Linked DNA regions of Oreochromis niloticus. The protein of the gene in region 1 interacts with the protein of each later gene in a pairwise test. Links are inferred from orthologs where the notes say so. Each region holds a gene or a part of one and is shown on either strand. Other genes may lie near its edges.

The links.
Region 2: the proteins of cstpp1 (region 1) and ras-related protein Rab-7L1 interact in a two-hybrid assay, tested with the Homo sapiens proteins (2 studies listed by BioGRID and IntAct). The two-hybrid records come from large-scale screens. The link is inferred for Oreochromis niloticus from reciprocal best matches to the Homo sapiens genes CSTPP1 and RAB29.

What each region holds. Positions count from the first base shown.
Region 1 is NC_031972.2:38,744,860-38,752,608, forward strand, and holds the start of cstpp1 (centriolar satellite-associated tubulin polyglutamylase complex regulator 1), read left to right. Parts: upstream 1-4,627; 5' UTR 4,628-4,812; coding exon 4,813-4,855; intron 4,856-4,931; coding exon 4,932-5,034; intron 5,035-6,424; coding exon 6,425-6,555; intron 6,556-7,749. UniProt on the Homo sapiens protein: Regulator of the tubulin polyglutamylase complex (TPGC) that controls cytoskeletal organization, nuclear shape, and cilium disassembly by balancing microtubule and actin assembly.
Region 2 is NC_031984.2:592,791-600,579, forward strand, and holds the start of ras-related protein Rab-7L1, read left to right. Parts: upstream 1-4,711; 5' UTR 4,712-4,785; coding exon 4,786-4,815; intron 4,816-7,789. UniProt on the Homo sapiens protein: The small GTPases Rab are key regulators in vesicle trafficking. Essential for maintaining the integrity of the endosome-trans-Golgi network structure.

The DNA.
Region 1 (7,749 bases):
TTGCGTTTGAAATATGCTCCGCCTTCAATGTGTGAATTTCCTTAGCTGATTGGAACAACGCGTGCATTGCTTTCTCAGAAGAGATTTCATTGGCTACTCTGAAATTAAGTCTATCTCAAAACTACTATTGTCTATGTAAACACTACTTGTTTGTTTCGTGCACGCCCTTTAAACTTTAGTTATGTGCAGTTTGGGATGAGCGATGTTATACCAAAAACCTCTTGATGCATTCTCAATCATCCAGGAAAGTAAATCTCCAAAAGTTGAATCTGTTCATCTGGACGTAGCGTTTTGTGGGAGAAACGTTTCTCCCACAAAACGCTACGTCCAGATGAACAGATTCAACTTTTGGAGATATACCAAAAACCGATTTCCGATGTTTTTATGTGTCTTTTACGGTCGAATATTTTTACTCATATTAGTACATAGACAGTAGTGAACATGATTTATGATTGGGTTATATATAGAAGAAAGAAATAGCCTGTTGTTGAAGTATCTTTATGACTCTGCGTATTTGTACCCATATTGTCATCAATGCAGTGCGTTTTGGTCACTTTAAGTAAGTTTATAGAACTGTTATGTTATGTTTGTTACAATTTCTGCTGCCCTCTTGGCCCTCTCGAAAGACACATTTTTAATGTCAACGACACTTTTAATCCGGGTAAATAAAGGATATATAAAACTCTCTCCAAAGCTCAGTGCAGAATTTGATGGCCACCATAAAATGATTGTGTCGTGTCAAGGTAGGTAAAGGTAGGTATATCTGAAGGAATTAGTTTCCCCTGCATCTGGAGGACGCGCTGGGCAGGGAAACCGGATCCAGTTGACTCCGCCTCCATTCAAACTAAACAGACGTGGAAGTCGTGACGTTTTAGTTTAGTGAGAAAGTAAAAGATGGGTGTCGTTAAATTACCGTTCAGTTTGTGGGTTACAACAGAAATGATACATTTGTTGTTCTCACATATTATCGGACGGGATTATTTCAACAAACCGACGACATTATGCCTGGTAATATGTATCCTCCTGTAATTTGATTGTATAAAAAGCTAAAACCTCCAAAATTTCAGTAGTAACAAGTCATTATAAGAAATGTTTGCAAACTAAAAATCAAGAATGACGGATACTGTTTGTCCGTGATTTGGACAGGCCAGCGCATGCTCCCGACACAGGGGAACCTAACTGTGTCGGGGATCCCTACCTTGTCAAGACCCGTTCATTGTGGGTTGTTGCTGTTGTTGACAACAATAAGAGTAGAGATAATTTCTTTTCATTTGTTCATATGTTTTAATTACATGAGTACACACATTTCAATATCAGCTGGACATAGCACACCAAGGGCCATGCACAGTTTAATTTTTTAGTGATGGCTGTGATCATCAATACAATTTGTAAATGTTTGTGTTTATTTAAAAGGGATAACACTTATTAATTAACGTGAGCACTTAAATTCATCATGTAAATATGCCAGATTTACCCACAGACTCATTTTCATAAACCCTGGCAGGTTAATGGCATATTAAATAAATCAACAAACCAAACATTTTGAAGCGTGTGAACATAAGTAAAATACAGAAACACTTGTGACATAAACACATGTCCTTATACCATTATTAAAGATCAAACACTATGATCACTTACAAAAAATCCCCCAAAACATTAGAATCGGACTTTCAAGGGCATTATGTCATGACAACATGTTTGATTATCCAATAATCACTATTTCACAAATTTAGAAAAAGAAATAAAGAATGTTATATATTCTTTATTTCTGAGGGTATTGTATTCCAGGTATGAGTGGCTTGATAAGACAAAACTGACTGCCCCAAAATCAATTTGGGCTGAAAAGTGCTCTAATATTGTTGTTGGCTGTACGAAGTGACCAAATCCCAGCCTCTCTAATTTGAGTTGAATTTTAGTATCTTAAAGAATGTTTATGAAACATTTAAGTATAGAGAGTTTGTCTTTTTCCATGGATAGTACAGCCACGGATAACGGACAACACACATAGGAGACATTTGACTTATAATTCTGTGTTGTTTCTGAATCGAAATAACTAAAGATGATCTACTTTAAACATTTATATAACCAAGCACTAAGGTGTCGAATGAAATGCCAAAGAAATAAATTCTAGTAATATCCCAGCTGCACATGAGACCTATCAAACCAAAGGTGCAGGCAAATAGCACTACACTGAAAACTGTCACACCCAGTTTTAGAGAAATCGCAATCAATTTACTTGTGGGCACGCACTGCAAACAGCCTAGCTGGGAATCAGCGCTATGTATGACCTACAACCTGGGTTCTTTAAGGGAAGTGGCACAAACAAATAAACGAAAAAACAAGAAAGAGATTAGTCCGCCCTTACAAGACTCATTCTCAATCATTCATAACGGCCTTTACTGCTGGACAGACTAACCAAAACAAAATGACCAATCAATCAAAAGAACAAAAAAAGGACAGCAGAGGCAGCTTTATCTGTTGAGTTCAGGGATTTATTATGAACTTGTAAACTTGTAAGTGTTGGTATGAACTTGGTACTGCTTCCTTTTAGCATAATAAATATGGGTAAGTCAGCATGAAAGTACTGAGGAAGACTAGTTTAGTGTGATTTAAAGTGTGATGTACTGATGTCCCTGCGAAAAGTGCTGTGGTTCAGAGTGAGGGCTCAGAGATGAACTAAGTCCTCTTTTACTGCCAACAGTGGGATAAACTGAGTGAGAAGATACTGCTGGTATAGCTGTTGTGGTCCTGAGAATCTGTGGTGGATGTGACTTCATAAGCCTTTGCAGAAAGGATGGCACTGAGACACTGGACTTGCTCATACTCTGGGTTCCCTCTTTATTCTGGTACAAAGATAACAGATCACAGTCGTCATCAACAGTGTGTTATGCAGCTGCAACATTCAGGTCTGTTAAAAAGGATTAGAACTGTTATAACAGTGTATTACTGATCAGTGTACGCTGGGTAGCTAGTTAACTAGTGCCGTTAGCTAAAATGATCATTCACTCTGGTTTTTGCTGCTGCTCCTAATGAGGAATGGGGGACTGCTGTGTCTGTGTTAATTTCCTAATCAACCACAGTGCTAATGTACTAAACAAAGTTTTGAAGGAAACCAGGCTCAGTGCTTTGTAGTTGCGAATCCAACATGGTGAAAAGAGGACAGAGGCCTTCTGATTGGCTGACCTCTACTGCCGTTACCCGCCCCCCCATACCTTCCCTCCACCACCACCAACACCCCTTTTTATCCCCCTTCAGTTACAAGTGCAAGTTTTGAAATGCTTTTCTCCCAAGAAGTGTTGCAAAATTGCAGAATAATGATCTGACTTGAGAGGGAACAGTCGAGTGCTTGTATTCACTGATTTAAGAGGTTGTAATCACGGAGATGTGGTTGTAAGCAGTACAAAAATTAATTAATTAATTACTTTAAGTAAAATTTAAATGAGAAGTTTGCAGCTCACAGTGTATTTGCTGATGACACCACCTACATAGGACTGATTGGGTGATTACATAGAGTGATTCAGCCTACAGAGAGGTGGTTCAGCATCTGAAGCGATGGTGTGACAACAACAACCTACATCTGAACACAGCCAAGACTAAGGAGATGGTAATTGACTTCAGGAGAACAAGGCGATCTGAGCACTCCGCCCTCTACATTGATGCAGCTTCAAGTTCCTCAGGGTCCACATCTCGGTAAAAACCTTACCTGGTCTAAAAACATTTCCCAGCAGGTAGGAAAAGCACAACAAAGGCTGTACTTTCTCAGGAAGCTGTAGCAGATGCAATTACTCCAGACTTCTAATTTACTTCTACCGCTCCACCACCGAGAGTCTTCTGACCTATTGCTGCACACTCTGGTTCAACTGCTGTACTGTGGAGGACAAGAGAAAACTGCAGCAGGTGGTGAGGGCGGCAGAGCAGGCAATTGGCACTTCGCTAACCCCCCTCAGAGACATTTATACCAGCAGACTTCAGTGGAAAGCCAGTATCATCATCAAGGACCCCTTGCACCCTGGACACTCACTTTTTTTTCTCCTTCCTTACTGTAAACGCTACAGGTCGATCAGGTCAAAGACAAACAGACTCAATGTCAAGATCAAGGCTGTCAAACATGCCCTACCCTCACCCTGATTGAAGGTTAACTGTGCTGTTAAAATCCATGGACATTTACACTGTATTTATGAACCATATTTATTATACTATAATGCAACCAACATTCTCTATTTATATAACTGTATTTATTATAGTAGCAACCAGCATTCCTATTCCTTACTTAATGCGCAATACCACTGACCACATTGCACCTTATACTGCTCTGATCACTCACTTATTCATTTTATCTATCTATCTATCTATCTATCTATCCACACACACACACACACACACACACACACACACAGAGAGAGAGAGAGATGCCAAACTGTGTTTCATTGTTCTTGTAACAGTGACAATAAAGATCTATTCTATTTTATTCTATTTGTGAGAATATCAATCTACACATTTGTGAATATTTTTCTGTAACTGTAAATTCAAAATACAAGTTCCAATTTTTCTCAGTTTTTATTCTGAAAGCTCTGTAAAACATTTGCTTTCAAAGGGGAATCTTTGTAAGTAGTATTGTTCGAGGGGCTCTGATTAATGTAACTCACAACATCCGGCGGTTTCCATGGAAGTCCACCAGCTCACGACAGCTAGCTAACATAATTCCGAGTAATAAGAACACAGTGTACGTACAGTAAATAGCTGCACTGTTCACCGATTATAGCTGCGTATTTATTAAGTCTCGTCTCAGTGGGTTTCTCTGGGAAGAGCAGAATGAACCGTTTGAACCCCACGGTTCCCGCTGACCAGTATCTCGGTAGGTCGTGTGTTGTTAGCTGTGTCAGTTAGCGCCTAGGCTAACTTTATAATCTGTGTGTGTGTCTGTGTTCCAGCGGACAGCAATGTGCTGTTCTACCTGAATGATGCTGTGATCCAGCTGCTAGAACACAAAGAGGAATACAACCAGTTCGGAGTGATTCGCTACTTCGCTGAATAGTAGGTTCCACACAGTTGTTGAAACAGTGAGACTGCAGCTCCGGTGCTTCAGGTTAACAGGTTCTTACGTTAACTAGTTAGATTTGTTTACTTATTCGACTCACCGTGTTCTTGTTGTTACTTCGTCATGTTCAAGGAATGGTGTGTCATACGGTTTAAAAGGATTATCATCTCCAACTCGCGCAAATGCACAAGCTATACGTATCAATACTATCTTCATTTCATTGTTGTCTGAAGATCATATTGATACTTACATGCATTTGCACGAGCTGGAGATGGAGCCCCCCCCCCTCAGGTCTTTAATCCTGCATTCCACAGTGACACACAGACAGGAAAAGTCTGTGAAAATGGTGAATCTGTAGATTGAACATCTGGAACACGGAGATCGGAATAAGTAACTTATCTGATTACTTGATTAATGGATGGAATAATCGATACATTATTCAATTACCGAAATCATCGATAGCTGCAGCCCTAATGTACAGTATCATATTAATCATATTCATCATATGTGTGGCTGTTGTGTGAGCATCGCATATCTCTGAAAAATCTAATCTCTAAAAAAGAAATTGTTGTTTAAGAGCTCAGTTTCACAGTCCTTCATCATGATTTTTTTTAAAGTGTATTAAAATACATTAATAATAAAAACAGTTGAATTGAAAAGCTTGTGCATACATCTATTGGGGAATTAAACATATTAATGAAAAAAATCTACATTCGGGAAATCTTATAGATGTTAATCTGAAAACGCTGCTGAGTCTATGCCTGGTTAACTCGCCTGTTTTATTAGAGCAGACATGGTCTGAGCTACTATCCCATCTTGATTATTGTCACAGTACTAAAGAAGTTAATAAAAACTTTTTCTCACACCATATTCTCTACATTACACATGTTGGCCAAGGTGGTTACCAAGAAGAAACTCATCCGTTATGTTGAATCTGACTGAAGCTAATTTACAGGGTAATGGTGCCCGTGTTTCCATACAAAGCACAGTTTATTACTGGTGTCAGAGCAGTGAAAGCCGAGCCAACGGCAGCTTGTTTCTCACACTGGTCTCCCATCAGTTTACCGTTAAAGACTAGCAATTTATCCACAGTGCACATGCACAAAACAACCAGAAAAAAAAGCTGCTGGCCAGGAGATGGACACGCCCTCAAACCAGAGAGAGCTGCAGCAATTCTAACTCCCTGTGGTCACAAGGTGGCAGGTGGGGAGCTTTGATAAGGCAAGCGCAGCTTCCCTTCCTTGTCCCGAGAGAAAGTTATTTATATAGACATATCAGAGTCAGAGAGACTTTATTAATCACAGAGAGAAATCGAGTAAATTTGTGTGTGTGTGTGTGTGTGTGTGTGAAATATATAATATATCTGGGTTTGTAATGTCTCTGTAGTTTCAGCAGTGTAAAGAACAGCAACCACGTCCTCTTCAGAGAGTTTAACTACATCCAGGCCACTCCACATAACAGAGCATCCTTCATTCGAGTATTCTGGAAATGCTACAGACAGATTGGCAAAAGTGGAGGTGAGAACACAATAACGTCTCTGGAGTGTGAAATGAAGCTGGAGTACCCCCAGGGAGAGCCCATGTAGTCATAGTAAAGAACATGGAAACTACAGACAGAAATATCCCAGCCTGGATTCACTCTCAGGATGTTATTGCTACTGTGCTACTGCTGATGACAGACCTATCCATCTGTCACTCTCCTGAGATACTAAGACCTCACCACTTGGGACAGCAACTTTTTCTTAACCCAGAATGTGCACTCTGGGTTAAGATTGAGAACTCTGGCCTCACAGTTTGTGGTCCTAATTCTCATTCAAGACACTTAACACTTAGCTTCGAACCAAACTCTGGAATCCTCCGAGCTGGAGGGTATCTCTTAATGGTAAATGGACTGATTCTTATATAGCGCCCTTGTACTCTGTCTCAGTCAAAGTGCTTTACACAACTTGTTTCATTCATCCATTCACACAAGCACTTTTTCTCTATGCTGGTTCTAAGTGCTTTTTGTCTAACATTCACATGCGCTCCCACCAGAGAATAATATGGGACTAACATCTTGTACAACGATATTTGGCATGCAGACTAGGGCAGACTGGGATCGAACCACCAACTTGCGGTTATTAGGTGACCTGCTCTACCACCTGAGCCATAATGAAGACAACTGAGTGAGCATCACTTGTAAAAAGCGGACATGAGATTCTGAGACTACCAACCCTGACACACTACAACCTTTGGTTGGACCTGTTGACCTTAAAACTCTGTCCATAAAAATCATGGACAAAATCAGTCAAAGCAGCCTTGGGAGATTCTATCACCCACTAGAAATAAGTGTGAATACAGTTGTACAGGGACCAAATAGCCCTGTACTCTTGAAACATCCCAGCAGGACACACTGACTAGATCTAAAGTTTATTATGGGATACTTAGGAAGCTGGCAAATGTAGATATAGACATTAAATAGACACCGGAGGAGTTAAATCTGTGTGATGCTGTATGTTTCTTCTTGATGTGGTTGTAGTGACTTAAAACAACATGCTTTTTCAAAATCAGTGAATTTACAAATCCTTGCAGATCAAAGAGACAAAGTTTTTGATGTGACTGTATTTGTAATTAATAAAAAAATAAAACTATGTTCATGTTATAAGTGTTACATTATTGTTTTAGTTGTCACTGACAGTTTTATGTGTTACAGTTTTGTGCTGTCATGAGTTT
Region 2 (7,789 bases), on another chromosome or scaffold:
AGCGCTTATGCTGCAGGCCCGGATGTACTGTCTACATCGGCTGTCTCTCACCCTTTACCCGCCCCTGTTGCTTGTCATGTGTTTCTTTGGTGTATTAAGAGTTTTTTCATGTGCTATGTGCAGAGGTGTTTTTTTTTCTGTTCTCAAACTAATCTCCCTGTTGGAGCTCAGTCTGGGGGGAGTTATTTTTTTCGCCTTATCTTTCCTCATGTGGTGCATTTTCCATTGTTATACCTCTCTGACCTGTCTTCCCCATGTGATGTTTGTGTAATGTATGTATGGTCGGAGGGTAAGATGGCGCCGCCATTGCGTGCAATAGGTCGGCAGCCTTATGAAATTTCCCCTTGTGGGACTAATAAAGGTATATCAATCAATCAATCAAACGGGACAGGAAGTGTGTCGCTTAAAAGGACGTTCATCTTCGTAAATAAATTGGATTAATCTTTTAACCGGTACCAGAACTGAAACCTCGGGTAGATGGCAGGTTTGCTTTTAGCTTCCTGAGACTATTACCTATGTTATTCTGTTCCCTCCCAGACCGTGCAATATTACCCAAGAGTACTTATTGAATATTTGTTTTCATCCCCCCATCATATGCTGCTACTCCCTTTATTCTATTGCACAATACTTTGTCACTTTCTAGAACCGCCTGCACTGATAGTTAAGTTATTTATTCACCAGGATATAGTTATATATATTACTTTGTTAGTGCAAGACATAGTATTGGATAACTCTATCCTACTGTATATTACTGTACACTATTCTTATTGTATATATTGTATATCTTATATCTATTTCATCTGTTTCTCTGTCTCTCCTGCTGCTTTGAGCATGTACGTGACAAAAGAATTTCCCTCGGGATAAATAAAGTTGTTCTTATTCTTATTCTTATTCTTATTGTAAGAGGAGGAAGGAGGACGCATGTGCAGTTTACATATACGTGCTGATAAGGCAGTTCAGGTTGGTAATGTGAACAGCAGAAAAAGAAAACCACACAATGAGAAATGAGAAGTGTTCAAAGGAGCCCCGCCCTCTGGTTTCTGTTAGGTAAAATCAGTGTGGCCACTCAGGGTAGATTAAATCCCTGTAAGATGTTGTGATCTCTACATCTCTGAAAATTCATTGCAATAATAACGTGTGAGCCCACTGTGCAGCTATGCAGAAGTATGTATGCCAGTAAACCAGTGAATGAATGGCCTCACGACTAAAACTGGATGAAAATGAAGTTGCCGTTCTCGTGTGTTGTTGGCCACGTGCACACTCAGAGGGCACGGCTTGCCCCGCAGCACAGCTGGCCGAGTACGACTACACATACAGCTGATTATTGTGATTGTTTTCTTGTTAGGCTAAATGTCCTATAAAAGAACGACTGTTGTTGAACCCTCAGCAGAGTTAAAGGTCTGCACAGACCTGTGGATGGATAACATCGTTTGTGGTGCCAAAAGCCTTGAATGTGAAGCTGTGCCGGCAGCAAACAGCTTTATGTGTCCCTGCCCTCCCACTCTCAGCCTCCATTAACGTCACTGTTGCCTTCTCGTATTCCTGTTGCACTGCATTAATGCTAATTACTCCTTAATTGGAGCTTTTATCCAACTTTGGGCTTTCAGCGTGTCCTTGTTACATTTTCATACATTATTAAAAATGCTGAACTTTAAAGCTTAAGTACCACAGGATCATTGTGTCAGTGTGAGTCACTCAGCTCAGGTTCTGCTCCATCTCTCTCATTTATAACTCATGTATATAAAATAACGTGCGATCTGTTTTGGATGCAGGGGAAGGTTCACTGTGGATTTTTGGTGTTTCTAAACTCGGTAACGTCCTGTCTCAGATGGTCACGCGTGTTTGTTTGGTGTGTTTCTGGTTTAATGTAGGCAGGACGTGATCTGTTTATAATTACACATGCATGTTCTGCAGGATGAATGTTTTCAGTGGTTTTGCAGTGGTGTTAAACAGCCTGGATCCACACAAGTGAGCTGGCTGACTGACTTTCACAGGCTCGTATCACATGATCAGAATTATCGGGACTCACATTACTCCAGAGAATCCACATTTCTTACTGTCATCAGATGTAGACTCTGTAATCACCTTCAGGTTGAACTTGTTGATGAAGACTTTTTACGCCATCTTTCCAACACTAACATTTCTCTTCTTTGTGGAAGGTGAACAAAAGCTGCTGGGACCTTTAATGAGACTACTGGAGAGACCTTCATGATCAGAGCTCTTGTTTAATGTCAGTATTGTCTCCAGGGTGTACTCACAGGTCCATCCATCCTCTTTCACAGGTCTGTAGTCAGTCGTGGTGGCATCGTTTTCCAGTTTTTCCTGGGGTGTCCTGAGCCACTCCCAGGCCACAAGTAGGGGCTCCTCCCAGCTGGGCATGCTTAAAAATCCTCCCAAGGAAACAGGAAGCATCCTGATCACGTCCTGTGGAGGAGCAGGAGCTCTATTCAGAAACAAACAGAGACTGACGTCCTTACCACTGGGTGGTGATCAGGGGACAGCTCTGGCTGGTTCATCAGCCTGCTGTAGAGGAAGTAAGGCTACAGATCACACGATTCACGAACAACGTCACTCATTGTCGTGCTGTGCTGTGGTATCGAGTGCACTTATGAGGCTAGAATAGTGTGTTTGTTCTGGATGACCCAGATCTACGCAGGAGTCCAATCATAAAACACCTCTGTGGTTCAGATCAGGCACGTTCAATCCCTCCTCTCCAGGCGTCACCCAAACAAAAGCAAAGTTTCCCCGGAGAAGCTTTTCCAGGATCCCACTAAAGGATTGACTACTGTAAACCAATCAGGGTGGTGTGGTTGTGACAGGACAATGGCGCTCAGCCGGGGGCATGTGAGCATCCCCACAGCAATCCAGCACTTCTGACCATGAGTCAGTCTGGCAAAGGAAAGAGTCCAGCTCAGACATGAGCCCAGGCCCAGTATGGAACACAGTCTCACTGGTCCCAGTTCCTCCCAACCAGTGCTGTATCCCACAAGGCAGTCTGCAGGGGGTCACATCACCCAGCCACCCCAGTGCTTCAGTTATCCATTTGGGCCGAGCCACAGATACTAGGTCTGACTCCATGAGGTGGCACTGATTTCCCTCTTCAGGTGAGGTCACTGAAGTTGTCCTGATTGGCCCTCCGTCTGGCCCCGCCTATGGGTCTGATTAAGAGACCCAACCAGGGATACCACAGCTCCCAGGATCACAGGCAAAACCTGCTCCTGTTTCTAATGTTTACTGTGCAATCAGATCTTTCATGCTTCTTTTCCATCATCGTGTTCAAGCTCCTGAAGACGGAATAACAAGTACAGGCTGTGGGAGGATGGATGAGCTTTGGAACAACATGAAATGTATTTTTCTCTTTAATTTCCCCAAAGCTGTGACGTTGAAAGGACTGCTCTCTGACTGTGAGCGTTAATGACTGAACCAGAACATGCTGCTGTGCTGAGCGGTGAAGTGGACGCCACCTCAGGCAGGCTCTGAAGTGTTTGTTTCATCACTTTTTCTCCTGTAATTTCATCTTTCTCTTTGTCTTCTGCTCAGTTTTTAATGGATGATGTTTTTAATCACCTGCTGTAACAGCATGTAACGCCATCATTAGGCACTACAAAGACTCAGGGCAGCGACAGGTCAGTGTGCTGCTGGATAGAAACCCAGACAGTAATGAGGGTGCAAGAGATAAAACAAGGAGATTCATTTGTTTAGCTGTCTGTTATCTGTCCCAGGTTCTGTCTCTGGCTGGATATTAGTTTGTAATCATTTAGTGACGGGCCAGGTCTGTTTCTGCTGAAGCTTCATAGGTGCAGGGCTACAGACTGAAATCCAAACCTTAAAGGCCGGCAGGATAAAAACAATCAAACCTTTTACTCACCCTCAGAGAATGTCAGAACAACAAAGACGAGTCTGTTCCATTTATTTGATTTCTTTCCATTTTATTTATAATGGCCCAGATCACAACAGTAGTTACCTCAGGTGCTTTATATAGTAAAGCACCTGAGGATTCCCAACAACCCCAACATTCAGGCAAGCCCTGTGATCCAGCACTCTGATTGGCTGTGCACTGTGTGAGGCACAGCAGCGATTCTCTTCAGGCAGTTTTCTGAAGACTGAACACACACAGGTGAGTGTCAGTGTGGAAGGCTAATTTTTCTCATTCTGTTCTGAAGTTTCGTAGCTGTCAGGCTTCTGCCCTTCTCTGGTTTATTGAGTTTTTCTGCCATCGCTCTAAATCTGGACCACATCCTCCAATAACGGTTGTCCACCTGGTGATGCGTAAGGAGCTTGATGATCTGAGGACCGAAGCTCATCCACATGCATCCCTCAGAGTGACTCTGAATGTGGTTCACAGGGCAAAAAACGTGACATGCTCACATTCAGGACAGGTGTGCATGTGCTCAATAATCCTGTTACCTGTGACCGGGACAGCAGAGGAGCTGCATGTGTGAGCGGGTAAACGCTGTGGCTCCTCTGGAAAGCAGGATGATGTCAGAATGGTTTTAAAGGACATTTTGTTCTAATTATCTCACTGCAGGTAAAGTGCACCATTATGTGGATGGCACTTTGGAGCTTTTCAAATCTGCAATAAAAATCCATAAAAACAGACACAACGAATCGATATCTGCCCCATCGTTACTTTATGGTTACTGGAAGCCTGTGTGTGGGCGGGACGCTGACGAGCGTCTGCTGCACAGGGTGGGGAGAAAGAAGAAGAAAAGAAGGTGCGAAAGGAGCTGTGAGGAGGAGGAGGAGGTGTGATGAGCTGCAGATAATAGACTGTTTGACATTTGGATGGACTCTCAGTGCAGAAACTCCCAGCAGGTAAATAACGCCTGTTCTCATTATCCTGAACACGCTCTTCAAAGCTCCCGCTGAGCTGAGCCTCCCCGGGAGCTCTTATTTTATCAGGTATAGCCGGTCTGGTTAGTGCCGCTGGTGTCAGATGGTACACATTTAACGCTAATTCAGTGAGCTCATTTCCAGCTTTTATTCTGGAATTTTCTTGGAGTAAAGGCCTTAGAGTGAGCGTCACGTCCTCACTGAGGATGTGTCACGTTTAGCTTACAGGAAAACACCGTCTCTGCAGCGCAGACTGACTCGGACTCTGTTTTTCTGGGTTAAATTATTTTTCAGTGTTAGCTGCACTCCCGTCCAGAGGGCGGTAGTAAAGCCCCTGAAGCTTTTTGGTAACCTATGAGTGCAGAAATTACCCCACCGAACTGTGTTATATAAATATGAAGTGTTTTGATGTATAGCCTGAAGCACATTTAAACTACAGAAGCTGAGCCTTTGACACAGGCACATTTCAAAATAAAAGATGAAGGGTGTGTTTTATTGTCTTAATTCACAGGGGTCATTAAAATGTGTTAATAATTTACAGATGATGATTCATCTCATAAATCGTGACCCCCTGCTCTCTCCTGCATAATCTGCCTTTAAAAGGTTAAAAGTATCGGCTCTGTATCGATTGATACCAAAATTCAAAATGAGGCTTTCATCAATCCGGTTGTTCAGTCTGACGTCACTGGCCGTGTCTGGGCCTAAACTCCGCTGCAGGTCCATATATCAAACGATCACTGTGGCATTACTGAGAGTTGAAAAACTGTCTAAAGTCTTTCATCTTTAATAAAATGATCAGTGTTCTGCTCTACCAGGTGTAACAATTGAGTTTAACATCCAGGCATCCATGAAAATGGAATTTATGACATTTAACGGCGTTAGAAGTTAGCAGGAAGTTAGCTCGCTAGCTTCCATCTAAATACAATATAGCATGTCCTGACTGCGGGGTTTTGGAAAAAAATTCAAACGTACAGCTCTGCTATCACTTCCAACATAAATGAAGACAGAAAACTAAACAGCAGTGACGTTTGTAGGGTTACTGAAGTTTGGCTAGCTGCTATATAATGATGTGCTACGTGACCGCTAGCGACACAGCTATGTTAGCATAATATAAACAAGCTAACTTTTTTTCCACTCGATAAAAGTTAACGTGAGTGTTCTCAGTGGTCAGGAACAAATGTAATAGCATGGCAGGATGCTGTAAAAGGACTAAACTTCAGCCAGGAGAACAAGTGAGATAATCCATCCACAATACGAGGTTAGTTATTCATATACTGCTGCATGGGCTGTGCTGTAGTTACATCGTAAGGTTTTAAAAACTGAGCTTAAATAAATGATTAGCAGTAATAAAAGCCGAGGGAGGTCAACAGTGATCACTGACTGTTTTTAGGAGCTTTTTGAGATTAAATAGAAGAAAATACAAAACATTAAACATGTTAACAACACAAAAGCCATATTAAACGCAGACTACTTTAGGCCCGGAAGTAGGATTCGTCACGTCATCACTGAACAACCGGATAAGACCTGAACTGACACCATGAAGTCCTCAGAGATCAGGTGAGCAGCAGGCCAACTCTCACCTGGACGGCAGGCTTCATGCTAGAGGTGGGCGGATCGATCCAAATATCGATAGTATCGATACCAACACTAGTATTGGTATCGCATCGATACTAGCACGATTGGATTGATACTTTGCTTTTATCTTTCAAGTTCAACATGTAGCCCCCTGAACTGTGTCAATTATTCCTTTGGAAAAAATAAACCTCAAACGTGCACTATGAAAAATGTCCGAACCTTTTTGTGTGCTTTACAGACAGAAACACTGACATACCAGGTCTCCAAAAACCCAGTTTCAAAACACACGACAAGCTGAAGGGTGTGTTTTGTTGTGTTAACTAATTATTGTGGAAAGCAACAATCACAGTGCTATAGTGGTGATTAAAATGTGTTCAGAGATTTCATCTCATAAGTCATGGCACACTACCCTCTCCCCAATTAGCTGCCTGATTGCCTTTGCAGTGTGGAGGAGCACGACTGTGAATGAGTGTGAATGTTGAATGTTGAATGTTGTTGTTGAAATGTCCAGGGAAGATATATACGTGTTCAAGTAGCGTCAATTAACCTCAGGTTTTTTTATTTCTATGTGATAATTCTTCATAACTAAACAATAAGACCAAGTAGTCTGATGTCCTGTAATCATTATGAAGCTATAATTTGAAATAAAATAACACATTAAGCTTTTGAACAAAGTATTGGTATCGGATCAGCATCGTTGATACCACCCTGAATTTTACTTGGAATTGGATCGGAAAGGAAATCAGTGGTATCGCACACAGTGTTGGGGAGTAACGGAATACATGTACCGCCGTTATGTATTTAAAATACAAAATATGAGTAACTGTATTCCGTTACAGTTACTGTTTAAAAAGGTGGTATTTAGAATACAGTTACTTTGTTGAAATAAATGGATTACACGACTGTTTGGGTTTTGTTTGACAGCTACGTTCTGTTGTTCCAGGCGGCAGCGTTGCAGTTGCCATGGTTACAGGGTGACGCGCTCTCTCTGCGACTGTGTGTTTCCTGGGTGAGAGAGCGCTTTTTGTTGTTGTTGTTGTGCTAAGCTAATAGGCAGAATGCTACAGGCATAGCCCTAAAGAATGTAGCATCATGGGCAGTGTAGTCCGTGCTGCAGGGAGAATGGACTGCCATACACGTTATGTGTCTGTGAGCGAGGGAGGGAGAGAAAGGAAAAGTCCGAGCTGTCACGGAGCAAAAACGAGAGCTGGAAGCATGTAAATATAATAATAACCACAGCAGCCAAGAAGAGTGCCTGACGAGCCCAGCTGTAAGTAAGCTATTAAGACTCGACTGTACACTGTGTTCGTGTTTTCCTCCGAAACAATAAGTTCCGTTGGAGCAGCCTTTCAACGCCTCTCTCTGTCTCTCGCTAGCAAAG